Linked DNA regions of Macaca fascicularis. The protein of the gene in region 1 interacts with the protein of each later gene in a biochemical or structural test. Links are inferred from orthologs where the notes say so. Each region holds a gene or a part of one and is shown in the gene's direction. Other genes may lie near its edges.

Region 1 (3,718 bases):
TAAAAATAGGCTTTTCTGGAAGTTACCAACATAAGTTGTATGCTGGATATTTAAAGTTTAACATTCTCTTTAAAATCTGTAGAGAAGATTTATTCTAATAGATTTTTGTCAAAAAGGAAAACCTTAGAAAAAATTTTTCTCTGAGGCACTAATTTATAAATATTAACTTTTTTTTCTAAAACCTTATCCTTGAAAGCTGAACCATGACATAAATATAAAAATGTTCATTCATTTTAATATGAAATTTTAGGGAAACTTTAGTTCCACAGTATTTCCAAAAGTAATTCCCAGTTTAGCTCCTAAGATTCTTCAGTGAACTGGCAGCCTTTTAGTAAGAATGTACTGTATTAGAAAGTACAGGCTTTAATTTTCTAAGTCCTTTAACATGAGTAAAGGGCACGTCTCTTTCTGACATCTATTTGTGCTGTTTTCCTCTTGTCATTTTAAAGAATTTGGACCTTCAGATGTCACAACCAAATGCAAGTTTCTAAGGCTTTTCCTTCTAAATTGCTCATTCTTCCCTCTTTTCCTATTAAACTGCAAGCACTTACTCTCTCCTTTTTGTGTGATAGCCAAACCCAAAGTCATAAAATGCCACGGTGTACAGTCAGTTTCCCTAAGTAGGTGGAGATTCCCAATTGTCTGTTTCTGTGTCTAGCAGATTCTTGTCAACATTGATTGGGATTCCCATTTACAGTTGGCAAGGGTCATCAGTAAGTCTTCCAGGAGACTCTAGATAGTCAGTTCGTGAGAACTGTCATACTGTGTCTAGCCAAAACTAACTTCTTAAATCAAAAGCAGTTTGGTTTTATGGCTTTAAAAAACTTCAGTTAGGAAACATGAAATACATTTCTCTTACAGTTTTCCTTGATTAGTTGTTAATTCTCTGTGCACTTGTTCCTTTTGGGATAGTAGGGTAAATGTGGCATCATGTTGCCAAGAAAACAAATGGACTTTTAGTTCAGAACAAGCATAACACTTCTCAATTAAATATATTTGGGAAATCCAGTTTAAAAATTCTAAAGAGCTTTAGATTAACTTTTTTATTGTAATTATTCATAGAGATTATTTGTTAAATATTTGAATATGCTGAATTGTTTTCTCATGCTTTTTTTCTTTTATTTAACTTAGAGAGTATAATGCACAGTTGAACTTCTAAATAGTATAGTATAAAGATTTTATTTTTATAATTTTACTACCTCATGTACATTTTTATTTACAAAGTTCGTGTTTGGTTCTGTTTCATATTTTATAAACAAGTTCTCAGGGACAAAACATGCAGGGTTTTTCTATTTATGCAATTTCTGTGCGTAGCTCTCACTTTGAAATTAGATATGTAGTTAAAATGCCACACTTTACATTTTCTTTTGTGAACCAAAGACTTTCAAAAAATAATTTGTGTTTTAAATTATTCCATGAGCTAAAGTTACGATCACTTTTTTCTTTTTGTGATGTTTTGCAGTTTTTATATAATGCAGTCATATTATGCTTCTTTGATTTTAATGACCTTTTGCTTTGCTTTTCCTTCTTTTGTGCTGCAAACACATAGTGGATTTATGGTCTGTGGGGTGCATTATGGGAGAAATGGTTTGCCACAAAATCCTCTTTCCAGGAAGGGACTGTATCCTTGTGCTGCTGCAGCAGTTAATTAGTTAGGCGATGAATTTCTTTATGTTCTCTAATGAAAATGAATATGCTACATTTATACAGATGGGATTTTAAACAGGCATAAAGTTTGTGGCTATTAGAGTTCAAAAATTGTTGAGATAAGCTGAAATATTTGTAGGCTGCATCTGGCAGTAGGACATACAGTCTCTGCTGGTAGTCAGAGCACATTCACTGTCACTCATTTTTATTTTATACTGCTTTTTATAATTTTAAAGTATACATGGTGTGTGTGATTTTCTTTATTTTTTTTTTATTTTAACCAGAATCTTTATGTTAATGTCATTGCATTTTGTTTTCAGTTGACATTTGGTCAGTTGGGTGCATCATGGGAGAAATGATCAAAGGTGGTGTTTTGTTCCCAGGTACAGATCGTATCCTTATCTTTGGCCTAAAATGTAGTTTCTAAAGGTCAAAATGTATGATAGCACTTCAGTTTGGTCAGGTGTAATGTATTTTGTCTCTCCCTAATATATTGTTAAATTACTCTTAAAATACCACCTACTATTTGACATAGACTTTTCTTTCCCTCATTTGTTGTTTCATATGTTAGTTCAGAACCCTGCTCAATTGTAATTGTGCACAATTACTTGCTGGCTTTGAGTTGATTTATTTAACCTAAATCAAAAGTCATGGCTTGCATTAAAAATTTCTAATAATTATACACTTAAGTCTAGAAATACGTACAACTTAATATGAATTTTGGAGCTGTCTGTTGCTTCTGGCCATCCTTTTGTTTTGTTCCCCACCTCCTTTTTGTTAATGTTCTATGTGGTTTATGTCTTTTGATTGTTGTCTCATTACTCACATAACATACCCTTTCATCTGAGAATTTCAGCAGTAGTTTTATATGGTGACGATAGCTTTGGATTCATGCTTTTTGTTCATCCCACTACTTTTAATATTTATATTAACAGTGATTTGTTATGTGTTTATCAGCTAGTAACATTTAGAATTGTTTCAGGAGGAAGAATGGAAAAAGCCATATTCACAAGATTACGATAAGTGAGTTTTAGGTCTTGGCCTTCAGGTTCCTGGAATGTAAAGACTAGAGGAAAGGAGACTAAGAAATCCCAACCTTACAACTTACCAAAAAACAATCTTTTTTATAGGCATCGGAGCTTTAGAAAAAATTTTTAAACATAAACTGAACAAAGAATGGCAAAAGATAATGCCGCTTTTATAGAAGCCTTTATTTTTATTGCAACTGGTTATTTTCTGTTAGTGTAGAAAACTTAGTAAAACAGGATGTGTTCTAGAAATAGTCGAGGAGATACAATCATGTTTTCTGATAAACTGACAGAAAAGGAAACATTTTGTGTATTATTATAGCATTGTGTGCCGTTTGCAGTTAGAGCCACTGTGGATAGTAATTGTCATTATTCTTAGTTACTTATAATTTTGTTTAGACTTTGTGAGTTTAAGCTTCCATTTTAAGGTAAAATCAGTTAGTATGAACACACACAATAAATAAGATTAACAAAGCTTATTTATTGATCATTTCTGTCCATCTACAATCATTGCCTTTTGCAAGGTGCTTGTGAGATATAAAATTTGTAACTGCCACATCCTTTCTTAGGATTTTTAAAATTTCCATTTTCTTATAATATGATTATGACTAATGTGTTGAACATTAGTTATGGAGTATTTTTCTTAGCTACTTGATATTAGATATTGATCAGTGGAATAAAGTTATTGAACAGCTTGGAACACCATGTCCTGAATTCATGAAGAAACTGCAACCAACAGTAAGGACTTATGTTGAAAACAGACCTAAATATGCTGGATATAGCTTCGAGAAACTCTTCCCTGATGTACTTTTCCCAGCTGACTCGGAACACAACAAACTTAAAGGTACTTTTACAAATATATACATTTAATCCCATTTGGGGTGTGTGTGTATGTGTTCGTGTGTTTATATGTATTCATATTCTTATGGGACATAACCCAAGGTTTTCTCTGGATGGTGGGAAAAAAAATGAGGTTTTATTTTTCTTTAATTTTATATATTTTAATCATATGTATAAAATAATTTTACAGTAATATTTTTAAA
Region 2 (4,384 bases), on another chromosome or scaffold:
ATATACTTGTTCTAAGAGGATTTCAACCAAAGCTCTCACATTCCTTATAGATTACTCAGGCTTACCTGCCTTTTTTTTTTTTTTTAAAGGAAAACGAGACCAATAACAAATAGCATTCAGCCCGAAGAACAACTCCAAATCACAACCTGCATAGGCGCAATTTTATTTTCATCGTTATGTTATTGGATAAACTGAAATCTTACAGTCTTGCGTTAGGAAAAACACAGCAGGTTTTATAAACATAATAGCTTTCACTGAGAGTCTAATATAAATTAAGCAGCATCTAAGTTTAGTGTTTATGCCAGTTTGTTTATTCCTGAATCAAGTGTGTGTAGTGGAACCAGTGGTCCAGCCAGGCACTTGGAAGCTCATTCTCTCATCACCATGCTTTCTGGTCTTGATTTGGAGCTCAATACTGTGCACTGAAGGGAAAAGGTTGGAAAAAGAGAGATGCTTACTTTTCTTGAAATACTGTTGACTATGAGAAGTAAACCTCATCTGTAAACTTTTAAGATGAAAATTTATATCAGGTTTTTTTTTTCCTTCGTCCACTGGTGGCTAGCCAGTAGATGTAGTTTAGGTGAAATCGCTATTCTCTCTACTCCTTCTCCTTCCCTACCTGTTTATCTAATTGGTGTTCCTTCAAGGAAGCTTGCTTAGAGATGCGTTAGAGTCTAGAAATGTCGTTAAGAATCTGTTCAGGCAGTGCCCACACGCTATTGTCCTGAGCTTTTAATATATCTGAAAACTTAGCAAGTCTTCCTCTTTCAATTGCTCTGGATTTTGAACCATTGCTGGGATTCCTCCATCTTCTGCATTATTGCCACATTGGAATGTCATACGTGGATGCAAATGGGGTTGAACGCTTGAGAGGTGACACCCTGGGCCTGTATGCTACTGGCCTTTAGTTAACTTTGCAACAACTGGATTTTCTGGGGAGAAGCTGAACATAGCATGTTTCTAGTTTAGCTTTATTCCTTTAACCTTAATCAGGGTTTAGTAAGACTAAAACTCTTATCCATTTAATTCCCGTTCCTGTACAGAGCAATTCTATAGAATAAAGAAAGTGTTTTTTTCTCTATTACAAGTGAGAGAGTTGTTGTTACTAGCTTTAGGTTTGTTAAGTCACACAACCAAAAATTGGAATTAACATCCTTAATCCAAAGAGGAACTGTTATATATATATATATATATATAACATATATATACACACACACACACACATACACATACACATACATATATATATATGTGTGTGTGAGTGTATATTTTCATGTGTTGGTATAATTTTTCCCTCCCTCTCTCCTTTTCCTTCATTCTTTTTTTTTCAGTAGTATAATTCCAGAAAATAAGAGAACAAGACATTTAAGAGAGAGGTTCAATGACTGTTAGAGTTGACTTAATCAGTAGCTTGTTCAGCGTGAAAGTTAACTGTGTTATAGGTCTGGCTTCAGGCCACTGTCACCTGTGAAGCAAACTGTTCCCTCTCTTTAAATGTAGATGTATAGCTTCTTGTTCATGCTGCTATCAACTTTAGCCAGTTCTGGAAGTTGTGACATAAATATATATAATGAACTAGTAGATTATACTTGGCTTTAAAACAGTTTTAATTCATTATTTCTCTACAAAATAAGGCATTGCAAAATTTAGATAAAAGTTTCTCTCTCCGTGCCTCTCCCTTCCATCTGCCCTTCATCTCTTGTCTTTCTCCCTTTTTTCAGAGGAAGCTCACCAGTGTGGGAAGGGGCTTCTCATCCACTGCCAGGCTGGGGTGTCCCGCTCTGCCACCATCGTCATCGCTTACTTGATGAAGCACACTCGGATGACCATGACTGATGCTTATAAATTTGTCAAAGGCAAACGACCAATTATCTCACCAAACCTTAACTTCATGGGGCAGTTGCTAGAATTTGAGGAAGACCTAAACAACGGTGTGACACCGAGAATCCTTACACCAAAGCTGATGGGTGTGGAGACGGTTGTGTGACAATGGTCTGGATGGAAAGGATTGCTGCTCTCCGTTAGGAGACAATGAGGAAGGAGGATGGATTCTGGTTTTTTTTCTTCTTCTTTTTTTTTTTTTTAGTTGGGAGTAAAGTTTGTGAATGGAAACAAACTTGTTTAAACACTTTATTTTTAACAAGTGTGAGAAGACTATAACTTTTGACGCCATTGAGATTCACCTCCCACAAACTGACAAATTCAGGAGGTTAAAGAAGTAATTTTTTTAAGCCAACAATAAAAATATAATACAACTTGTTGCTCCCCCTTTTCCTTTTAAGCTATTTGTAGAGTTTATGACTAAATAGTCTGTGCAGGTTCATAGACCGAAAATACTACACACTTTAAACCAATTAAAAAGAACCAAAAGTAAATAGAAAAGACATTGAATCACCAAGGCCTGGGACCCGCCTGGGCTGTCCACATAGAAAACAAAAACCCAACCAAACCAAGCCCTGTTGTGCTCACTGGTGCAAAGAGAAGATCAGGGCAGCTTAAGTGGTCTAAGAATCCTTCAGGCATTCTTTAAAAAGACAAAGGATACCTTTGATTTTGTGTGTTTCATGCTCTGCATTTTTTTTTTTTTTTCCTTCTCTGGGTTTAAGAGATTTTTTTTGAAATAGTGAGGAACTGACCATTATACCATATGCCTTCACTGGCTTCTTGTGCAATAATATGATGTTTTAAGTGTGCAAACAAGTTAGAGCTGGCAGCTGAATGGTAGACAAATAGTGCAAATTTGCCAGGTTGGAGATAGAAAGGAATTCAACAATATATCAATTACTTTCCTTCCCACCTTTTTCCTTTTTTTTTTTTTTTTTTCTGATTTGATTCTGGTTACAGTGCCATAAACCTTGTTACATATGTATATCAGAATGTAAGAAAAAAAGAAAAATTTATTTAAAAATATTTTTCGCAAAAAAAATCTTGGTGTGTTTCTGTTGATTGTGTAAAAATTTATTTTCATTACATAAATGAAACTGGTTTGGGATGTGTCTTTTTTCCCCCCTCTTTTACCTTAACTCAGGTTCAAGCCTTTCTTAGCTCTGGTAATTTGCATATAAAAGTTGAAATAAAACACAGATTTTTATATAGGGAAAGAGAGATGAGGAAGGAAACATATCCAGTTTTCTCACTGTGAAACAGAATTAGCAAGGAAGTGAAACAGCTCCAGTATTGATCTGCCCAGTCACTATCCCTTCTATTCTCACAATGCTGTCATCCTCTCCTGCAAATATAATTCCTTTTGCATTGGGGAAGCCTTGCATAAAGTGAACTTAAGGGGATCCCATCTGCCTTTGCGCCTTGGTGTCCAAATCACTGCCAGATTGATTGGTGAGAATTCAGTGATCTCCCTAGTGGGTATTTGATAAAAACTTAGGACAATCTTCCACTTAGGGATCTTGCTATTCCTCTCCCCCTCTTCTGCCCCAACTGCCCCATTGTCACTTGCTCACTTGACATCTTTGGTGACATTAACCATGGAATGCATTGCAGCAAATTGCTATTGCCTACTCTTCCCAGCAAACTGAAACTGAGCTCCATACATATGTACAGCTTCCTTATAACTCTGGGTTAATGCATAGCTGGGTTCCCAATTCACTGTTGATGGAGGGTTGGGAGTATGGGAAAAACACAATGCAAATATTTTCAATGTTTAATTAAATTAAAAGTCTAGTGGGACTTGGCCATAAGGAAGATTTATGGCAAACTGAAATTTGCCTGGGGTGAATAAAAGAGTTGAAGAATCTGGCATGTTGGATTCTATGTGACAATATTTGACATAAATAATTTTGTGTATGTTGGCTTGAAAATGTTATAAGGAAATATTTTTGACATTAAAAAATAGCTTTTCTACCAAAAATAATTTAAATTTTTCTTTTATAGAAAAGTGGAGACTGAATTTAACAGGAATTAACAGCTATTTTGGATTATTTTAATATAAAGTGTTAATCAGGTAAAAAGTAAATCTCTGTGCTTTCTATTCTTCAGGCTAACAATTTCCTTGGTTTAAGGAGTCAGGTTGATATATAATTAGTGATTTAAAATACATGGTAATTTATCAGACTTTTTCTTTTGTTATTTTAAGTCTAAATATTAAATTTCTGATAGCATGTAAGGTATATTGCCTCCCTCTCTCCCTTCCTTCTTTCCTTCTGCTTTTTCTTTGTTCCCCTCCCTCCTTTTCTTCCCTCCCTCTTCCCTTCCCTCTCCTTTCCCTTCCCTTCCCTTTCCCACTTTCCCACTTTCCCACTTTCCCTCTTTCCCTCTCTTTTTTCTTTCTAACAAAACAGAAAAATCAATACAATTTCTCATCTTTATCCACATGGAAGTGATTTATGTTTTTGGAAATTTATGATTTTGAGAGAAAAGCCTATCCTGA
Region 3 (4,411 bases), on another chromosome or scaffold:
CATGCAGTATTTGGTTTTCTGTTCCTGCATTAGTTTGCTAAGGATAATAGCCTCTAGCTCCGTCCATGTTCCCACAAAAGACATGATCTTGGTTCTTTTTTACGGCTGCATTAAATGAAGTTTTAAAGGCACAAAACGTAAACACCAACCCCTTCTCCACCACAAAAATCCCTTGATGAATTTGATTCCACTTAAATTAAGGAGTTTTGTTTAATGAAGGACTCCTTGGACAAACTTGACAGTTGATGGAATAGGAGAAGCTGTCTGTCATATTGAAAGCCAACAAGAGATCAATATCTAGAATAAATGAAGATCTGCAAATCAACAGAAAGCAGGCATTAAAGCCAAAGAAAACAGCCTAAGGTGCAGCCACTAAAAGGAATGTGATCATGTCCTTTGCAGAGATATGGATGGAGCTGGAAGCCATTAGCCTCAGCAGGCTAACACAGGAACAGAAAACCAGTGAGACCACATGGTCTCACTTATAAGTGGCAGCTGAACAATGAGAACATATGGTCACATGGAGGGGATCAACACACACTGGTGCCTGTTGAGCGGGGTGCTGGGGAGGGAGAGTACCAGGAAGAATAGCTTACGGATGCTGGGCTTAATACCTGGGCGATGGGATGATATGTGCAGCAAACCATCATGGCACACGCTTACCTATGTAACACACCTGCACGTCCTGCACATGTACCCCAGAACTTTAAATAAAAGTTGAAGGAGCGCCAGGTGCGTTGGCTCACATCTGTAATCCCAGCACTTTGGGAGGCTAAGGAGGGCGAATCACCTGAGGTCAGGAGTTTGAGACCAGCCCGGCCAAGATGGCGAAACCCCGTCTCTACTAAAAATACAAAATCAGTCAGATGTGGCATGCACCAGCTACTCGGGAGGCTGAGGCAGGATAATTGATTGAATCCGGGAGGCAGAGGTTGCAGTGAGCCGAGATCGCGCCACTGCACTCCAGCCTGGGCGACAGAGTGAGACTACGTCTCAAAATAAAATAAAATAAAATAAAAGCCATTTCCACTCCCCTAAGTGACCTCCACCCTGCCCCGCGAATCGCGTGTGCAAGCTCCGGGATCGCAGAGTTCTTAGGGAATCTCCCCTCGCGATGCCCCGAAGCGCCAGTAGCTGTGCGCACTTCATTGCAGTCCTCTTCCTGCTGTCCGTTTACTCCCTGGGCCCCGCTGGGCACCTGGGGAAGAGGGACAGGCTTCCCAGGCCAGCTGCGCGGCGACTCCGGGAGCTCCGAGGCGCCCCTCTGCGGCCGACGCCAGGTGCAGCGGCCGCCGGGACTGGGACCGGCGGGAGCCCGCGGGACCCTCCAGAGGCGCGGCCGGCGCCGTGACTCAGCACTGGGGCGGAGCTGGGCGGGACCACCCTTATAAGGCTCGGAGGCCGCAAGGCCTGCGCTGGAGTTTCGTCGTCGCCGCCGCCGCGTGCGCCATTAGTAAGTCCTCGCGGCCCGCGCCCCCGGGGGATGGGGCTCGGATCTCCCAGCATGGGGCCAACCCACGGCATCAGGCTCGGGCTACCGGCAGGGCCCCTCGCCCACCTCGAGACCCGGGACGGGGTCCCAGAGTACCCAGGAAGTCCCCAGTGCCGTTAGCGGCTCTCAGGGGGCCGCAGCGCCTCGGGCAGGGATGGGACCCGGGGAGGGCAGGCTGCGCGCACCGCGCCTTGGCGTCCTCCCCCGGGCTCCAGCAAACCTTTCTTTGTCCGCTGCAGTGCCGCCCTACACCGTGGTCTACTTCCCAGTTCGAGGTAGGAACCTCTGGCAGGGAGGGGAGGCAGGGGCTAGGGCTGCAGCCCACGGTCCCTCGCGCACGCGGAGAGAACCGAACCCCCCTTATCCCTCCGTCGTGTGACTTTTACCCCGGGCCTCCTTCCCTGTGCCCCGCCTCTTCCGCCATGCCTGCTCCCCTCCCCAGTGTTGTGTGCAATCTTGTGTGGAATCTCTGTTCCCCTGTACCCTCCCTGCACTCCTGACCCCTCCTCCGGGTTGCTGCGAGGCGGGGTCTGCCCGGTCCCCACATCTCGTGCTTCTCCCTCCCCACAGGCCGCTGCGCGGCCCTGCGCATGCTGCTGGCAGACCAGAGCCAGAGCTGGAAGGAGGAGGTGGTGACAATGGAGACCTGGCAAGAGGGTTCTCTCAAAGCCTCCTGCGTAAGTGACCATGCCCAGGCAAGGGGAGGGGGTGCTGCGCCTTAGGGGGCTGTGACTAGGATCGGGGGACGGCCAAGCTCAGTGCCCCTCACTGAGCCATGCCTCCCCACACAGCTGTATGGGCAGCTCCCCAAGTTCCAGGACGGAGACCTCACCCTGTACCAGTCCAATACCTTCCTGCGTCACCTGGGCCGCACTCTTGGTGAGTGTTGAACCTCCAAGTCCAGGGCAGGGATGGGCAAGCCTCTGCCTCCGGAGCCCTTTTATTTCAATCAGCTGCCCCGCAGCCCTCTGGAGTGGAGGAAACTGAGACCCACTGAGGTTGCGTAGCTTGCCCAAGGTCAAGCCTGGGTGCCTGCAGCCCTTCCCCTGTGCCAGACTGCCTCTCAGGTGCCAGTTGAGCTCTGAGCACCTCCTGTGTGGCAGTCTCCCATCCTTCCACGCACTTCCTCTTCCCCTCCTCCCAGGCCGGGGCTCACAGACAGCCCCGTGGTTGGCCCATCCCCGGTGACTGTGTGTTGATCAGGCGCCCAGTCACGCTGCCTGCTCCCCTCCACCCAACCCCAGGGCTCTATGGGAAGGACCAGCGGGAGGCAGCCCTGGTGGACATGGTGAATGACGGCGTGGAGGACCTCCGCTGCAAATACCTCTCCCTCATCTACACCAACTACGTGAGCATCTGCACCAGGGCTGGGCACTGGGGGCTGAACAAAGAAAGAAGCTGCTTTTGCCCTCACCCCCCTACCCCTCACGTGGCTCGGGCTGACCCCTCCTTGGGTCAGGGTGCAGGGGCTGGGTCAGCTCTGGGCCAGGGGCAAGACACAACCTGCACCCTCATTGCCTGGGACATGAACCAGTCAAGTAACGGGTTGTGGGGGAGAGTGCAAGGACAGAGACCTCCAGCAACTGGTGGTTTCTGATCTCCTGGGGTGGCGAGGGCTTCCTGGAGTAGCCAGAGGCGGAGGAGGATCTGTCACCAGTTTCTGGATGGAGGTGCTGGCACTTTTAGCTAAGCAAAGTATGCAGACACAGAGCACATCTGGGGACCTGGGACCAGTTTAGCAGAGGCAGAGTGTGTATGTGTGTGTGTATGTGTGTGTGTGTGTGTGTGTGTGCGCGCGTACACTTCCTTGTGTGTCGGGGGTGGGTAAGGAGATAGAGATGCGGGGAGCAGGCCCAGGTCCCGAAGGCCTTGAACCCACTGGTTTGGAGTCTCCTAAGGGCCCTGGGGGCCATGGAGAAGTCTGAACAGGGCTGTGTCTGGATGTGAGGTCTGGAAGGATCCTCCAGAGAAGCCAGCTCTGAAGCTTTTGCAATCATCTGGTGAGAAATCCCAGCAAGGATGGACAGGCAGAATGGAATAGAGATGAACTGGCAGCTGAAATGGACAGGATTTGGTACTAGCCTGGTTGTAGGGAGCGAGCAGAGGAGACTCTGAGACTCTGGTTTCTGGCCTGGGGCAGACAAAGGGGGCGTCTCAGGGGCTGGGAGGGATGAGAGTAGGAGGATGATACATGGTGGTGTCTGGCAGGAGGCAGGCAAGGATGACTATGTGAAGGCACTGCCCGGGCAACTGAAGCCTTTTGAGACCCTGCTGTCCCAGAACCAGGGAGGCAAGACCTTCATTGTGGGAGACCAGGTGAGCATCTGGCCCCATCCTGTGCCTTCCTCGCCACCGTCTGCTTACAGATGGACATATGTGTGAGCCATTTGTTCAAGCAAAGTGGGGCAGACCTAGGGGATGGGATTAGGCCCTCTGCCCCCAGTTTCCCCAGCCTGCTCCCGCTGGCTGAGTCCCCGGCCCGCCTGCCCTGCAGATCTCCTTCGCTGACTACAACCTGCTGGACTTGCTGCTGATCCATGAGGTCCTGGCCCCCGGCTGCCTGGATGCGTTCCCCCTGCTCTCGGCATATGTGGCGCGCCTCAGTGCCCGGCCCAAGCTCAAGGCTTTCCTGGCCTCCCCTGAGCACGTGAACCTCCCCATCAATGGCAACGGGAAACAGTGAGGGTTGGGGGGACTCTGAGCGGGAGGCGGGCTGCTTGCCTCCCTTTCTCCAGGACCAATACAATTTCTAAGAAAGCTGCTGTGAGCACTGTCTTTCCTGGGAAGGGGTTCTCAGCTCTTAGCCTGGAGGTTGGGGGGAGGGCAGAGCAGAGGGCTAGAAAATGCTGCTCTAGCATAGTCAGTGGCTTCCTGGAGCCCTCAGCCTGGCTGTGTTTACTGAACCTCACAACCTGGAAT
Region 4 (3,718 bases), on another chromosome or scaffold:
GAGGCCCCTCCCCTCCAGGACCTGAAGCTGGACTTTGAGGGCAGCCTCCACCTTGCTGGCCACGTGCCAGGGGTCGTGACCTCTCCCTGCACACTGCCTGCCCCTCCCTGCAGTGGGGAGCTGGGCTGCTTTGGCTCCGAAGTGTTTGGTTCAGGATGTCCCTTGGCAGAGGCTGTGCACACCAACAGTCAGGGGGCTGCGCTGGGCTCCACGGTGGCCTCTGCAGCAAGGACCCATTTCAGACGTATGTGCAGCAAGGAGTCGCTGGCCGCGCCTGTGCCCTGGCGGCACTCCAGGTCCCGGTCTGTGGAGCCCTCCGTGACTGTGGCCGAAGAGCAGCCTCTGGGTCGAGCAGGTGCCAGCTGTGGCCTGCAAGCCCAGGGGCATACCCGGTGCTGGGAAGGCCACCCTCCCTAGCTAGGCACTCGGTGGCCGGGAAAAGGCGAGGATGGGCCTCCCTGCCGTGACCTCCCCCAGGGCAAGCCTGGGGCACTGTGGGTGCCTGCTGCTCGGCTGCCGCTCCCCCTGGACAGAGACATCACCCATCATTCTTCCACTCAGCGACTGCACGTCCTCCGCCCGTCGAGAGCAGAAGCGCGAGCAGTACCGCCAGGTGCGTGAGCACGTGCGTAACGACGACGGCCGACTTCAGGCCTGCGGCTGGAGCCTGCCCGCCAAGTACAAGCAGGTGCGGGCGGGGCGCTTCGGGGACAGGGCGGGGCCCCGCGGGGGCGGGGCGTAAGGGGCGGAGCGTGAGTAAGGGGCGGGGAGAGGGCGGGGCAGTGCCGGGTGTGGGAGGGGACGACGGGCGGGGAGGGGACGACGGGCGGGGAGGGGCGGGGCCTGGCAGGTCCTAGTAAGCCCCCTGGGCAGGGGTCTGGAGGGTCGGAGGAGGAGCCCTGCGGCTCCCACGCCCCCACCTGCCTCCAGTCTTGAGGTGGCTCTGCCGCAAGAAGCTGGCAGCTCGGCCTAAGGTTTCTGGAGGGATGGGTAGGAGCCATGGCTGGTGCCCATAGCGCCTCCCTGTTCCCTGCAGCTGAGTCCCAACGGGGGCCAGGAGGACACGCGGATGAAGAACGTGCCGGTGCCCGTGTACTGCCGCCCTCTGGTGGAGAAGGACCCCACCATGAAGGTGAGCGGGCGAGGACCCCGTTCAGGCCTGCTGGGCAGGCGGGAGGCTGGGGAGCGCCGGTGACACCCGACCCCGGCCCTGCCCTTGCAGCTGTGGTGTGCTGCGGGCGTCAACCTGAGCGGATGGAAGCCCAATGAGGACGACGGTGGGAATGGAGTCAAGCCAGCGCCAGGCCGCGACCCCCTGACCTGCGACCGCGAAGGAGACGGTGAGCCCAAGAGCGCCCACGGGTCTCCCGAGAAGAAGAAGGTGAGTATGGCGGAGGCCACCGGGCACCCTCCCTGGCTGAGTCTCAGGACAGCTCAGCTGCAGAGCATGCTGGGAGTGAGACACAGGACAGCAGCCGGAAGCAGGGCGGCACAGGGGCTCCTGGACTGCGGGAAGCAGTGTCTTCCCTCCCCAGGACTGAGCCGCCTTCTGGGTTTTCAGTAGGAATCTTGGCCCACGTGGCTGTGAATGGGGCTGCAGCTGGGGCGGCCCTCCCCTCCCCTCTCCGAGTGCCATCCAGTAGTCTCCGTCCCCTGGCTGGGAATGGGGCTGGGGTGGGCCCTCTTCCCCTCCCCCTCCCCTCCCACCTCCCTCATCCCCTCCCCCTCCCCTCCTCTCCTCCCCCTCCCCTCCTCTCCCTTTCCCTCTCCCCGACCCCCCAAGTGGCCTGGAGTGGCAGAGCTTGCTTCCAAGTGGTCAGAGGCTTAGTTTTATGGCCCGCTTGGGCCTCTTGGAGCTCAGCGGCTTCCTCTGTGGAGACGAAACCACGTATGCAAGCGCTTTAGAGTGCAGTCCTGAGTCCGCATTGCTCTGGCCCCGGGAAAGGACAGCCATGTCCTCTCAAGCTACAGTTAAGGCTGGATCCTGACAGATTCTGGGAGTCCCATGGCCCTGTGCTCCTGCCGGGTAGCCTCAAGCTCGGGCTCTGACCTTGATCCCGTGCCCTGAAACAGGCCAAGGAGCTCCCTGAAATGGACGCCACCTCCAGCCGGGTGTGGATCCTGACCAGCACCCTGACCACCAGCAAGGTGGTGATCATCGACGCCAACCAGCCGGGCACCGTGGTGGACCAGTTCACCGTCTGCAACGCGCACGTACTGTGTATCTCCAGCATCCCTGGTGAGCGGCTGGAGTGGGCGTTTCCACTTGGGCGCCACTCCCTTTTACTAACAAGCTAAGTAAAAGCCCAGCCACACAGCACCCACCTTCTCGGGGTGTCCTCTGGACACGGGAACATGGCAGTGGACAGTGGGAGGGGCGACACCCAGTCAAGTGAGGCCCTGGGCCCTGTTTCTGGGAGGAAGCTCGCAATGGCCTCGGCCTCTTCTTCCTACCTACTTGGGACCCCACGCTCACCTGGTTAGAGGGTGAGGGGTAGGCACGGCTCGCAGCTTGAAGCATCACTCGAGGACCACAGGAAAACATTTCCTCATGCTGAATGTGAAACCTCCAGCTGGGCCGAAATCTCACGGCCTCACCAGGGGCTAAGGGGGTGTGGGTGAGGAGCTTCATGTCACCCCTGTGAGCAGTAACCTTGGTGATGTTCTGGGCCAGCCCCAACACTGGGAGGACGAAGGGGTGCTGAGGGCTCTGCCAGGTCTCTGGTGTGAAACCACAGGGCCGTCTGGGTTCTTGAGGGTCTGCCACAGGATCACAAGTTGTTTGCTCCCAGGACCAGGGTCTTACTTCTCAGCTCCCCTGGCCCAGGGGCCCGCCCAACAGAGCAGGCTTGCTGGAGTCCCAGGCCTGCAGGCAGAGGGTCCTGGGTGGGCTGTGGGTGGAGCCATGTGTGGAAGCTGGGTCTGCTGGGAGAGTGGGAGGCCAGCTCCCACTCCCTCTGCCCCTGTATGAGTGCTGGGCACACCCTTGCAGTAGTGGGTTCCCCAGCACAGGCTGATGGGCCGTCCCTCTCCCCAGCGGCCAGCGACAGCGACTACCCCCCCGGGGAGATGTTCCTGGACAGCGACGTGAACCCAGAGGACCCGGGCGTGGACGGCGTGCTGGCCGGTATCACCCTGGTGGGCTGTGCCACCCGCTGCAATGTGCCACGGAGCAACTGCTCCTCCCGAGGGGACACCCCGGTGCTAGACAAGGGGCAGGGTGAGTCCTGGGTGAGTTTCCCCCATACCCTCATTCCCACCTTTCTGCCCAGCCCAAGCTCACCTCTCCTAACACAGGGGAGGTGGCCACCATCGCCAACGGGAAGGTCAACCCGTCCCAGTCCACAGAGGAGGCCACAGAGGCTACGGAGGTGCCAGACCCTGGGCCCAGCGAGCCAGAGACGGCCACATTGCGGCCCGGGCCTCTCACAGAGCACGTCTTCACTGACCCGGCCCCCACCCCATCCTCTGGCCCCCAGCCTGGCAGGTGAGCAGGAGCGGAGGGGAGGCTTGCAGAGGTGGGAAGGGCCTAGGGGTCTTGGGGCAGGTGCATGCCCCGTGGCCCCCCTGGAGCCACCATCCTTCCTGCAGTGAGAATGGGCCAGAGCCTGACAGCAGCAGCACGCAACCAGAGCCGGAGCCCAGCGGGGACCCCACAGGAGCAGGCAGCAGTGCTGCACCCACCATGTGGCTGGGAGCCCAGAACGGCTGGTAGGAA
Region 5 (3,209 bases), on another chromosome or scaffold:
TTTGAAAACAATGTTAAAATTTATCAGTTTTTAACCCATCCATTGGTACCGTCAGGCCAGTATTGGGCCCCTAAGCACTATCTCACCTACTTTCTTGTCTTACTGCTTTGGCAAAAACCATCATTGCATTATTAATACTGACTCCTACTCCCACTCTGAGATCCCCACAGTGATGCTGCCCTGCCATGCGCATTTCATTTTCGTGTCATATTCCTATAGCCAACATTTTGAAAACATGGTTAATAATGGCTGGTCCTCATTCTGTCCTCTGGAAGCCCTAGACCAGTGCTGGGCTTCCCTAGTTATTTCATAGTCTTCTCTTATTCCAGAATATTTCATATTCCTAGAATCAAAACCTCCCTGACAGTATTATACCAACTTTTGCTTACTTTGTCCTCTGGGACCCCAACATCTTTAACCAATTATTTTCTTATTCCTTAAGCTAAAACCTCTGCAACAACATGTTTAGTACCAGCTTCCACACCCTATCTTCTTAAATTCCCAGAGCAGCACTGGTCTACCCCAATATTTATATCAATTGTTTTCATTATCTTATTCCTACAGCTAAAATTTAAAATTTCCCCCATTCTGCCCTCTCAGACCCCCAGGCCACTGCTGGGTTTCCCCTCCCCCCAATATTTATACAAGTTATTTCATCTTCTTATTCCTCCTGCTGAAACTTCCAAACAATATTCATGAATATCCCTTTTCGTTCCTCTTTTGAGAAACACGGGCCCACCCTGTGACATATCTGACCAGCACTAAGACTTCCGCAGAATGCCCTAGTGCTCCCACACTCCTCTTGCCCGTGCCCCCCAGAACAGCCCTGGACCTATGCTGCATACCCTTCATAGTTTATGGCATTTATTCCACTTTCATATTTTATTCCTTGAGCTCAACCCTCCAGAACAATATTAGTAATGAGGCTCCCTCACTGTGCCCTCTGGGAACGCTAGGTCATCTCTGAGACCCACCAGACCTGAAAAACCCCAAACATGCTCTGTGACCCACCCAAGCCAGCCTTGATATAGGCCCTCTCCCAATATTTATACCAGTATTTTTAATATTCTTGTCTAATTGCTGTTAGTTACTTCATTTTCTTACCGCTTTAGCTTCAACCTCCACAGTGGTATTAATAATGAGGCCTCCTCGCCCTCTCCTCTGCAGTGACCTTGCCCTATTCCACTTCTGTGTCATTAGCTTCAAATAATCCTCTGTATTAATAATTCATCGCCCCATCCATCTATATTAATTTACTTTCTTCCAACATTTATATCAGTTACTTCATTTTCTTGTCTTACTGCATTTGCTAGTCTCCAAAACTGTGTCCTGACAGTCACCCACAAGGCCTGGCCTGTGAACTCCTGGTTCTTGGAGCCAAGAAGACTTGCTCCCACACCTACTACCTTCCCTTCACGGGCCCCATTGTGAAGAGGAGCCACAGTGTGGAGGGGGTGGGAAAATCAGATAGATAGACCTGGAGAGTGACAGAGGGAGGCTTGGAAAGGGGTGGATGGGAAGGGGCTTAAAGAAAGAATTGTTGTGGAGAGAAGAGAGAAAGGGGAGGAACTAGGGAGGGGTATAGATAAGGGGAATCTAGGGGGAGAGGAAAGAGGTAGAAACCAACGGGAGAGGAAATGGGCTGATAGGCTGAGAGGGGAACTTACAGAGGAGGGACAGGAAAGCCAGAGAGGGGCAAGTGGGAAGAGAGCCACTAGGAGAAGAGAAACACCACTCCACCCCGACATACACACACCCTGCCTCCAGCCTGCCCCTTTCCTCTCAGGCCCTCTGTTCCTCTCCTCCCTTTCTAGAACATCATCCGCAAGGTGAGCGGCCAGAAGTTCGTCTACAAGTTTGTGTCCTATCCTGAGGTCGCAGGGTGCTCCACTGAGGACTGCCCGCCCCAGCCAGAGGTGTCTGTTACCTCCGCCATGCCAAATGTGGCCCCTGCTGCTGTACATGCCACCCCAGGGGACACTGCCTCTGGAAAGCCAGGCACACCCAAGGGTGCAGGAATGGCAGGCCCGGGTGGTTTGGCACGCAGCAGCCGGAACGAGTACATGCGTTCGGGCCTCTATTCCACCTTCACCATCCAGTCTCTGCAGCCACAGCCACCCCCTCATCCTCGGCCTGCTGTGGTGCTCCCCAATGCAGCTCCTGCAGGAGCAGCAGCGCCCCCCTCGGGGAGCAGGAGCACCAGTCCAAGCCCCTTGGAGGCCTGCCTGGAGGCTGAGGAAGCCGGCTTGCCTCTGCAGGTAAGGACTGGAATATAGAAATCCAGTAAGAGGAGGCAGTAAAGAGGACTGATGTGTAATCCCCGGATGATGAGGGAGGCTGGTAGAAGAGACATAGTGCTCCTGTTAAAGGAGATAATGGTGGAAGGAAGAACACAGACATCCTCTTAGAAGGAGGGATGGGGCAGAGAGCTACACAAACCCTGAGACAGAAAGGGGAGAATACTGTGCTACAGTTAGTAGCTGCCGAACATGTAGGTGCCTGAAATATATTTGTTTAATGCACTAGTTCTCACACTCTAGCGCTCATCAGAATCACCTGTAGGGCTTGTTAAACCACAGATTGCCAGGCACACCCCCAGAGTTTCTGAATATGTGGGGCTGGGGAGGGGCCCAATAATTTGTATTTTTAACTTGTTACCAAATGAGGCAGATGTTGCTGGTTCAGAGGAAGGTAAATTTTTGAGAACCACTGTTTTAATGAATGAGGATGGTATCCCTCAGATTCCCACCTGCTTCAGGTTGTCTTACCCCAAGTCCCCTGTCCCATAGGAGGACTTGCCCCAGAGGAAGCCCTACTTCCTTGATGAAGTCCTATGTCCTGTTGGAGAACCTGCTCTGATGCCCCCAGTACCAAGTGCCACTTTCCCGGGGAAATCACTGGGTAGCCCACAGGAGAATCCTGTGGCCCCAACAATCCTTACCCTCTTTGTACCTGCTCCTCTCCCAGGTCATCCTGACTCCGCCCGAGGCCCCAAACCTGAAATCGGAAGAGCTGAATGTGGAGCCAGGTTTGGGCCGGGCTTTGCCCCCAGAAGTGAAAGTGGAAGGGCCCAAGGAAGAGTTGGAAGTTGCCAGGGAGAGAGGGTTTGTGCCGGAAACTACCAAGGCCGAGCCAGAAGTCCCTCCACAGGAGGGCGTGCCAGCCCGGCTGCCCGCGGTTGTTATGGACACCGCAGGGCAGGCGGGCGG
Region 6 (3,718 bases), on another chromosome or scaffold:
GGTTCCTGAGGACTAGGGGTGGACTTGGGAACAGGCTGTGTGTTTATCCCAGCGATGGTGCCTGCTTAACTTCCCATCCCCGCCCCCAGCCCTTTGGCCCTCTCCTATCTGCCCTAGGGAGAGGGCAGGCGGACAAGAGCCCATGAAAAAATACAGGTGTCTGGACTGCCAGAGAGACCCTGGTCCCCGATATTGTGTCCTGGGGTCTTCCTCAGAGGGAGAAACCTCCCCCAATGTCTTCAAGACTTTTCTCTCCCCCCCAACCCCCTAGCTCTCCCTCCCTTGCCACCCAAATGTTAGAAAAATAGCTGTGAACAGAGAGTGCTTTTGTCTGCAATGGCAGCAGGATCTGGACGGTCCTCTCCCCTAGGCTCCCCCCTCCCCACCCCACACTCTTGACAGCCTGTTCCGTGTTGCCCCCCCACCCAGCGCACAGTGCAGAAAAACGCCAAGTACATCTGCCTGGCTAACAAGGACTGCCCTGTGGACAAGAGGCGGCGAAACCGCTGCCAGTTCTGCCGCTTCCAGAAGTGCCTGGCGGTGGGCATGGTGAAGGAAGGTATGTGGCTGGGGTGCAGCCCAGCGGGGCAAGGGTAGGCTTAATTGGAGTGGGACCAGCAGGGTCCCCAGGCTTCTGCCCTGGATGACCCAGGGGAGGGCACGTCTTATTTCCACCCCATCTCTGAACCCCAGGCCTTGGAGGGAGGCAGCCTACACCTGCCTGGATTGTGAGGGTGGTGGCAGGGGGAGGTCCCTGTAGGGTACCTTGGATCTCAGGGGCTTTGGGTCCTAGGGACTCGGTGGGGCGCATCTCAGCAGTGGTGTGCGCGGCTTGGGCTGAGAGGCCCTTCCTCAGATCCCTTCCTTCCTCACCCCTACCCGTTCCTTTGCAGTTGTCCGAACAGACAGCCTGAAGGGGCGGCGGGGCCGGCTACCTTCAAAACCCAAGCAGCCTCCAGATGCCTCCCCTGCCAATCTCCTCACTTCCCTGGTCCGTGCACACCTGGACTCAGGGCCCAGCACTGCCAAACTGGACTACTCCAAGGTGAGGTCCCACCCCATGCCTGCCTCGGGGAGGGCTATGAGCACATGCAGTGCCTTTGTGCATGTTAGGAGAGCTGTCCCCTCCAGAAGGATAGAATGAGAAAGGAAGTTTAAAAAAGAAAGAAAGAAAAGCTACCCCCTCCGGTTTGATAGATCAAAGAGAGGAGCCCCCTCTGGGCTGACCAGATGGGAAAATGCAACCCCTCAGGCAGGTGGCCAATTAGAAAAATGTGTCCTGTTGGCAGCTGCAGCCCTGGGTTAATATGTGAGACTTGGCAAGCGAGAGCCTGGGCAGGATCTCACATCCACTCCCACCCCCAGGATCTGGCATCCAAGTGTCTGACACAGCCGTGTGTGGCAGTGGGTGCAGGACCCTGCCTGGGGTGCTGACCCCACTGGACCATCCTCCTAGTTTCAGGAGCTGGTGCTGCCCCGCTTTGGGAAGGAAGATGCTGGGGATGTACAGCAGTTCTACGACCTGCTCTCCGGTTCTCTGGAGGTCATCCGCAAGTGGGCGGAGAAGATCCCTGGCTTTGCTGAGCTGTCACCAGCTGACCAGGACCTGTTGCTGGAGTCAGCCTTCCTGGAGCTCTTCATCCTCCGCCTGGCATACAGGTGAGAGCTGCCGACTGTCTGCCCAGCCCCTTTCCCTGATACACCTGCCTGTGAACCACCCTGATCGCTCTTCGTGCCCATCTGCCTGCCAGGTCTAAGCCAGGAGAGGGCAAGCTCATCTTCTGCTCAGGCCTGGTGCTACACCGGCTGCAGTGTGCCCGTGGCTTCGGCGACTGGATTGACAGCATCCTGGCCTTCTCAAGGTCCCTGCACAGCTTGGTTGTCGATGTCCCTGCCTTCGCCTGCCTCTCTGCTCTTGTCCTCATCACCGGTGAGTGACCAGCACCACACCAGGTCCAAGGGAGTGGGTGTCAGGGAGTTGACTGGTTCTCAGGAGGGCACTGTCCCAGGGAGTTTGGTGAGCTGGGATCTAGCACTTTCTGGGCCCCTGCACTGCCCCGGGCTCATACCAACAGTAAAGTAGGGACCATAGGAATTGGAGATGGGCTCAGCTGCATCCAGCTCTAAAGCCCAAGACAGCCTTTGGTCCCAGACTGCCAGGATCTAGACTGCAGGTGTCATGTATGTGGCCTAGGGTATTGGCTTGTTTTTGTTGTTGTTGTTGTTGTTGTTTTGAGATGGAGTCTCACTCTGTCGCCCAGGCTGGAGTGCAGTGGCGTGATCTCGGCTCACTGCAAGCTCTGCCTCCCAGGTTCACACCATTCTCCTGCCTCAGCCTCCCGAGTAGCTGAGACTACAGGCGCCCGCCACCTCGCCCGGCTAGTTTTTTGTATTTTTAGTAGAGATGGGGTTTCACCATATTGGCCAGGATGGTCTCGATCTCCTGACCTCATGATCCTCCCACCTCTGCCTCCCAAGGTGCTGGGATTACAGTTGTAAGCCACCACGCCCGGCCAAGGGTATTGGCTTGTTTTGAAAACCTTCCTGTCAATTTTGCTGCATATAGAAAAGTACACAAATGGTAAATTTTTATAAACCACACTTACCCAACCAGCGCCTTGGTCAACAAAGAGCACATAACTGCCCCCCAGAACCCATTATTATGCCCCTTCCAGTCATTTGCCTTCCCCAAGGGTAACCACTACTTTTTATTTAAAAATTTAAAAAAATAAGATGGTACCTCACTATGATGCCCAGGTTGGTCTCAAACTCCTGGGCTCAAGTTATTCTCCTGCCTCAGCCTCCTAAAGTGCTGGGATTACAGGCATAAGCCACCACGCCCAGCCCTTCACTGTGACTTCTGACAGTGCAGATCAGATTGGCTGTGCCTGTTTTGGACTTTATGTAAATGTAGTTCTGCAGGATGGAATCTGGTGTTGAATGCAGAGGTTTTCAAATCTCTGTTTTTTAAAGGAAAGAATCCACCCTCGTTCCTTTTTTCACTTCAATTGCACAGGGGACCCCACTATATAGAACACAATCAGAGGTACTCTGGGCTGAGGGGTGTTGAGTTCTGAGGCTGAGTTTCTCAGAACAGTCTAGATTTTAAAAACCCAATGATCTAGCCGGAAAACCTCGGTTAGGATTTTATTTCCCATCTGTGACCCTGGGCAAGTCATTAGCCTCCTGGGCCTTGGGTTCTCACTTGGAGTATGAGGATAATGAGGGTTACTGCCTCTCAGACTTGTGATGATGCTTACTAATGGCCAACATGTGAACGCGCTTTTGTGAAGTGCCAGCAGAGCCTGAGGGGTGGTCGGGGCAGCAGTTTTAGGGGCCTGGGGAGGCTGGGGCTTTGGGGGCCTGGTTGTCAGATGTGCGGCTAATCCTGTACACTCCCCGCAGACCGGCATGGGCTGCAGGAGCCGCGGCGGGTGGAGGAGCTGCAGAACCGCATCGCCAGCTGCTTGAAGGAGCACGTGGCAGCTGTGGCGGGCGAGCCCCAGCCGGCCAGCTGCCTGTCACGTCTGTTGGGCAAACTGCCCGAGCTCCGGACCCTGTGCACCCAGGGCCTGCAGCGTATATTCTACCTCAAGTTGGAGGACTTGGTGCCCCCTCCACCCATCATCGACAAGATCTTCATGGACACGCTGCCCTTCTGACCCCCGCCTGGGAACACGTGTGCACATGTGCACTCTCATACGCCACCCCACGTGCC
Region 7 (3,808 bases), on another chromosome or scaffold:
TCTGAGTCCCTTGATCATTGTCCTTTACCTCACAGTCTCTAGGATTCCTGACTCAGGCTGACCTCTTTCTGGTCCCAGACTGCCTCCTTGCCCAGGCCTCTCTCACTCTTCATACTCTTCCAGATTTTGTTCTCAGCATTTTCTTTTCCCTGTGATCACTGGCATCCTGGGCGTTTCTTGCCCCCTACTGTCTACTGATTGGATTTTACTTATGACTTTCTGCAACTTGCTACTCTCCCTCTCCATCCTGTCTTTGCAGCCTCACAGGGTGGGATACAGAAGTTTTTTTTTTGCAGTTATCCACAGTCACATTTCAGAGTCCTGACTCTCAAGGAACTACTGGTTTTTGGGATAGAACTTGGGCCAGGGCTAGGGACACAGGCTCCACAGTGACCTGTTATTTGATTGTAAATTAAGTGTTCTGATTAGTAAGAAGTAAGCAGGGGGCCACATGCTCTCAATGGAGACAATAAAGTGTTGTCTATTTCTTATTGTTCCTGTAGGTATATTTCCTATATGGGCATTTTTGGGTGGATTGGGAGGGTAGGTGGGGGTACTTCCTCCAACAGGATGCCTATCTCTCTGCCCCACCAGACCCCGTCTAACAAGAAGTGAACAGAACTGAGACCAAACAGAACATATTGAATAAACATTTAAATCCTGATACTTCAGGTGGCATGGAGGGCCACAAAATTGAAGTTATCCTGTTTCCTGGCATGGGGTCAAACTTTCAAAGACACCAGGTACAGTGGCTCATGCCTGTAATCCCAGCACTTTAGGAGGCCGAGGCAGGAGGATTGCCTGAGCTCAGGAATTCAAGACAGCCTGGGCAACAAAACGAGACTCCGTCTCTACAAAAATAAATAATTAGCCCACTGTAGTGGAGCATTTGTAGTACCATCTACTCGGGAGGTTAAGCAGGAAGGATCCCTTGAGCCCAGGAGTCCGAGGCTTGCAGTGAGCTGAGATCACACCACTGCACTCCAGCCTGGGTGACAGCAAGCAAGACCTGGTCTATTAAAAACAAGAAAGAAAAGAAAGAAAGAAAAAGAAAACTTTAAGGGGTCTAATTTCTTCCCTTTTCCATTCTCCCTTTGTCAGGTAGGAGAAGGGAGTGTGGAGTGACCGGACCTGGAAAGGGTAGCTATAGTATTGACCCCTTTCCTTTAAACATCCTACGCCAGCACAGATTTCCCAGACGCTCTCTAGGTGGCCTCAGACTCCACCCCTTTTGTCTTCCGGTTCTGCCTTCCGACTGTAGTGTTTAAATCTCGCGCGCTTTACAAGGATTGGCTACATCAGCGGGTGTTTGGCCGTCTGCGTGCTACCCCGCCTCCTCGCCTTTTCTCCCCGGGCAAAAGGTTTTCAAATTCGACCAATCAGCGGGCGCGCTCCCTCAGCCGAGGCGCGACACCCAAGGGTTAACCGCAACCAACCGGAGGCGGGTATTGGAGAAAAGAGCCAATCAGGAGGGCGCAGAGGTGTGTCCTGGGGGCTTATAAAGGCGGCCTCACGGCGCGCGCGCGACAGCAGTTACACTGCGGCGGGCTTCTGTTGGGTTGTCTCTGAACCGTTGTACTTCACCGGTCTACCTCGCTAGCATGTCGGGCCGCGGCAAGACTGGCGGCAAGGCCCGCGCCAAGGCCAAGTCGCGCTCGTCGCGCGCCGGCCTCCAGTTCCCAGTGGGCCGTGTACACCGGCTGCTGCGGAAGGGCCACTACGCCGAGCGCGTTGGCGCCGGCGCGCCCGTGTACCTGGCGGCAGTGCTGGAGTACCTCACCGCTGAGATCCTGGAGCTGGCGGGCAATGCGGCCCGCGACAACAAGAAGACGCGAATCATCCCCCGCCACCTGCAGCTGGCCATCCGCAACGACGAGGAGCTCAACAAGCTGCTGGGCGGCGTGACGATCGCCCAGGGAGGCGTCCTGCCCAACATCCAGGCCGTGCTGTTGCCCAAGAAGACCAGCGCCACCGTGGGGCCGAAGGCGCCCTCGGGCGGCAAGAAGGCCACCCAGGCCTCCCAGGAGTACTAAGAGGGCCCGCGCCGCGGCCGGCCGCCAGGCCTCCCCATGCCACCACAAAGGCCCTTTTAAGGGCCACCACCGCCCTCATGGAAAGAGCTGAGCCACTTCAGACTGCGGGGCAAGCGGGCCGCGGCTCCCGGCTCCTTTCCCCTCCCATCGCCCGCCTTTGCCGCCCGGCCTCGAGTCCCCGCCCGCCCCCCTCCTGGCCTGCACCGCCTGCCGCGTCGGCCTCGGGCCCTGCCCCATCCGCCGGCCGCCCTCCGGTAGGGCTCGGGCCCTCTGGACGCGGCTTGGGCACTCTTCGGGGACCACCGTGGCGCGGAGGACCCGAGCCTGCCGGGGGGAGGCCGGCGGCGCCGCACCTGCCCGCCTCGGCGCTCGTGACTCAGCCAGCTGCCCCATCCTGAGTCGCTGAGGGGCTGCGGGGAGGCCGCAGCACCTTCTGGAAGACTTGGCCTTCCGCTCTGACGCAGGGCCGAGGTGGGCAGTCCAGGCCGAGAGGCCGGCGGCCCTGAAGGTGAGTGAGGCCCTCGGCAGCTGCAGCCAGGGTGTCCGGTACTCCCCCGGCGTGGTGCTTAGCCCAGGACTTTCAGACGTGGCCGCTGGCCTGGAGGCTTTGGTGGGAGAGACACGATCGCTGGTTTCGGTCTGGCGCCCCCTCTGCGGCCGGGACCCAGGCCTTTCACATCAGATCTCCCTCCATCTTCATTCATAGGTCTGCGCTGGGGCCGGGACGAAGCACTTGGTAACAGGCACATCTTCCTCCCGAGTGACTGCCTCCTGCGAGGACATTTAGGGGAGGGCAGAGGCCTGCAGTTTGGCTTCACGGCTGGCTATGTGGACAGCAAGAGTCGTTTTCGCGGAAGCCGACTGGCAGCCAAGCCTGTCGGGCCTCCCCATTTCCCTTCCAGCAAACTCAACTCGGCAATCCAAGCACCTAGATACCAGCACAAGTCGGTTAATCCCTGTCTGGACTGAGCCTCCGTTGGCTTCCGAACTGGAATTTTGCAGCTAACCCTTCCAAGACTAGAACCTTAGGCATTGGGGAGTTTTAGATGAACTAATTTTATTAAAGGATTGTTTTTCTAAAAATGGAGCATTTGTTTTCATTTTGCAAGAGAGTTGTAGGATTAGTGACTTTCTATACTTTCCTGATAGTGGGGGTGGGAGGGGCATGCAATATAAATAGGCTCTACTGTTAACCGAAGAAGGAGCAAACCATAGGAATTTAAGATTATGGCTCTGTTTCTTGGTGTTCCTGCGAGACAATTTATTCTGTGTGAAATGAAAACTATTGAGGCAGAAGCAGAAAGGATGTACCAGGAGAACTTTGGGCAAAAGTCCCAGCCTCCGAGGTAAGGATGAAAGGGCTTTGTGTTTGTTCATATCTTCCCGCCAACCCCCCCACACACACACACAAAAACACCTTCAGAGCTGGTTTATTAGTAGAGTTGGTTACATTCAAAGGCTGTGGCTTGGACTTCTCTAAAGAGATGAAGCCCCCACATACTGAGGAGGCAAGGCAGTCATCAAGGCCCCAAACTGAGGCAAATCCCCGGAAGGCTTGAACCCTGCAGTTCAGTCTTCTGAGGTAATCACTCCCCAGACAGCAGTGAGAATGGGGCACTGAGGGCCGGGATGTAGGCACTGGACAGCAGCAACCGAGGCATCTGTGCCCCACAGACCAGTTAATGGGCATCGTTAAGCTGCCGTGCAACATCCAGGATGTTTTTGGCTCCTTTGCTCAGCAACAAGTTGGCCAGGCTGATGCCCAAGTTCTGGGC

Evidence for each region.
Region 2: the proteins of MAPK8 (region 1) and DUSP10 form a complex in vitro, tested with the Homo sapiens proteins (2 studies listed by BioGRID, with this or other methods). The link is inferred for Macaca fascicularis from reciprocal best matches to the Homo sapiens genes MAPK8 and DUSP10.
Region 3: the proteins of MAPK8 (region 1) and GSTP1 form a complex in vitro, tested with the Homo sapiens proteins (2 studies listed by BioGRID). The link is inferred for Macaca fascicularis from reciprocal best matches to the Homo sapiens genes MAPK8 and GSTP1.
Region 4: the proteins of MAPK8 (region 1) and MAPK8IP3 form a complex in vitro, tested with the Homo sapiens proteins (3 studies listed by BioGRID, with this or other methods). The link is inferred for Macaca fascicularis from reciprocal best matches to the Homo sapiens genes MAPK8 and MAPK8IP3.
Region 5: of the proteins of MAPK8 (region 1) and ELK1, one has a biochemical effect on the other in vitro, tested with the Homo sapiens proteins (3 studies listed by BioGRID). The link is inferred for Macaca fascicularis from reciprocal best matches to the Homo sapiens genes MAPK8 and ELK1.
Region 6: of the proteins of MAPK8 (region 1) and NR4A1, one has a biochemical effect on the other in vitro, tested with the Homo sapiens proteins (2 studies listed by BioGRID). The link is inferred for Macaca fascicularis from reciprocal best matches to the Homo sapiens genes MAPK8 and NR4A1.
Region 7: the proteins of MAPK8 (region 1) and H2AX form a complex in vitro, tested with the Homo sapiens proteins (2 studies listed by BioGRID, with this or other methods). The link is inferred for Macaca fascicularis from reciprocal best matches to the Homo sapiens genes MAPK8 and H2AX.

Annotation. Positions count from the first base shown.
Region 1 is NC_088383.1:57,631,421-57,635,138, forward strand, and holds part of MAPK8 (mitogen-activated protein kinase 8), read left to right. Parts: intron 1-1,549; coding exon of another isoform or gene 1,550-1,621; intron 1,622-1,967; coding exon 1,968-2,039; intron 2,040-3,336; coding exon 3,337-3,519; intron 3,520-3,718. UniProt on the Homo sapiens protein: Serine/threonine-protein kinase involved in various processes such as cell proliferation, differentiation, migration, transformation and programmed cell death.
Region 2 is NC_088375.1:79,702,944-79,707,327, reverse strand, and holds the end of DUSP10 (dual specificity protein phosphatase 10), read left to right. Parts: intron 1-1,721; coding exon 1,722-1,987; 3' UTR 1,988-3,865; downstream 3,866-4,384. UniProt on the Homo sapiens protein: Protein phosphatase involved in the inactivation of MAP kinases. Has a specificity for the MAPK11/MAPK12/MAPK13/MAPK14 subfamily. It preferably dephosphorylates p38.
Region 3 is NC_088388.1:6,783,300-6,787,710, reverse strand, and holds GSTP1 (glutathione S-transferase P), read left to right. Parts: upstream 1-1,414; 5' UTR 1,415-1,452; coding exon of another isoform or gene 1,453-1,453; 5' UTR 1,454-1,646; coding exon 1,647-1,767; intron 1,768-2,062; coding exon 2,063-2,169; intron 2,170-2,283; coding exon 2,284-2,371; intron 2,372-2,736; coding exon 2,737-2,840; intron 2,841-3,700; coding exon 3,701-3,808; intron 3,809-3,986; coding exon 3,987-4,175; 3' UTR 4,176-4,249; downstream 4,250-4,411. UniProt on the Homo sapiens protein: Conjugation of reduced glutathione to a wide number of exogenous and endogenous hydrophobic electrophiles. Involved in the formation of glutathione conjugates of both prostaglandin A2 (PGA2) and prostaglandin J2 (PGJ2).
Region 4 is NC_088394.1:2,528,147-2,531,864, forward strand, and holds part of MAPK8IP3 (C-Jun-amino-terminal kinase-interacting protein 3), read left to right. Parts: intron 1-561; coding exon 562-688; intron 689-1,036; coding exon 1,037-1,132; intron 1,133-1,222; coding exon 1,223-1,381; intron 1,382-2,073; coding exon 2,074-2,239; intron 2,240-3,037; coding exon 3,038-3,220; intron 3,221-3,297; coding exon 3,298-3,487; intron 3,488-3,591; coding exon 3,592-3,711; intron 3,712-3,718.
Region 5 is NC_088395.1:47,738,077-47,741,285, reverse strand, and holds part of ELK1 (ETS domain-containing protein Elk-1), read left to right. Parts: intron 1-1,814; coding exon 1,815-2,258; intron 2,259-2,967; coding exon 2,968-3,209. UniProt on the Homo sapiens protein: Transcription factor that binds to purine-rich DNA sequences. Forms a ternary complex with SRF and the ETS and SRF motifs of the serum response element (SRE) on the promoter region of immediate early genes such as FOS and IER2.
Region 6 is NC_088385.1:58,893,888-58,897,605, forward strand, and holds part of NR4A1 (nuclear receptor subfamily 4immunitygroup A member 1), read left to right. Parts: intron 1-429; coding exon 430-559; intron 560-893; coding exon 894-1,045; intron 1,046-1,365; exon of another isoform or gene 1,366-1,456; coding exon 1,457-1,659; intron 1,660-1,751; coding exon 1,752-1,930; intron 1,931-3,405; coding exon 3,406-3,662; 3' UTR 3,663-3,718. UniProt on the Homo sapiens protein: Orphan nuclear receptor. Binds the NGFI-B response element (NBRE) 5'-AAAGGTCA-3'. Binds 9-cis-retinoic acid outside of its ligand-binding (NR LBD) domain.
Region 7 is NC_088388.1:117,961,352-117,965,159, reverse strand, and holds H2AX (histone H2AX), read left to right. Parts: upstream 1-1,525; 5' UTR 1,526-1,601; coding exon 1,602-2,033; 3' UTR 2,034-2,541; exon of another isoform or gene 2,542-2,739; 3' UTR 2,740-3,116; downstream 3,117-3,808. Other genes in the region: DPAGT1 (UDP-N-acetylglucosamine--dolichyl-phosphate N-acetylglucosaminephosphotransferase), read left to right, coding at 1-5; HMBS (porphobilinogen deaminase), read right to left, coding at 3,713-3,808. UniProt on the Homo sapiens protein: Variant histone H2A which replaces conventional H2A in a subset of nucleosomes. Nucleosomes wrap and compact DNA into chromatin, limiting DNA accessibility to the cellular machineries which require DNA as a template.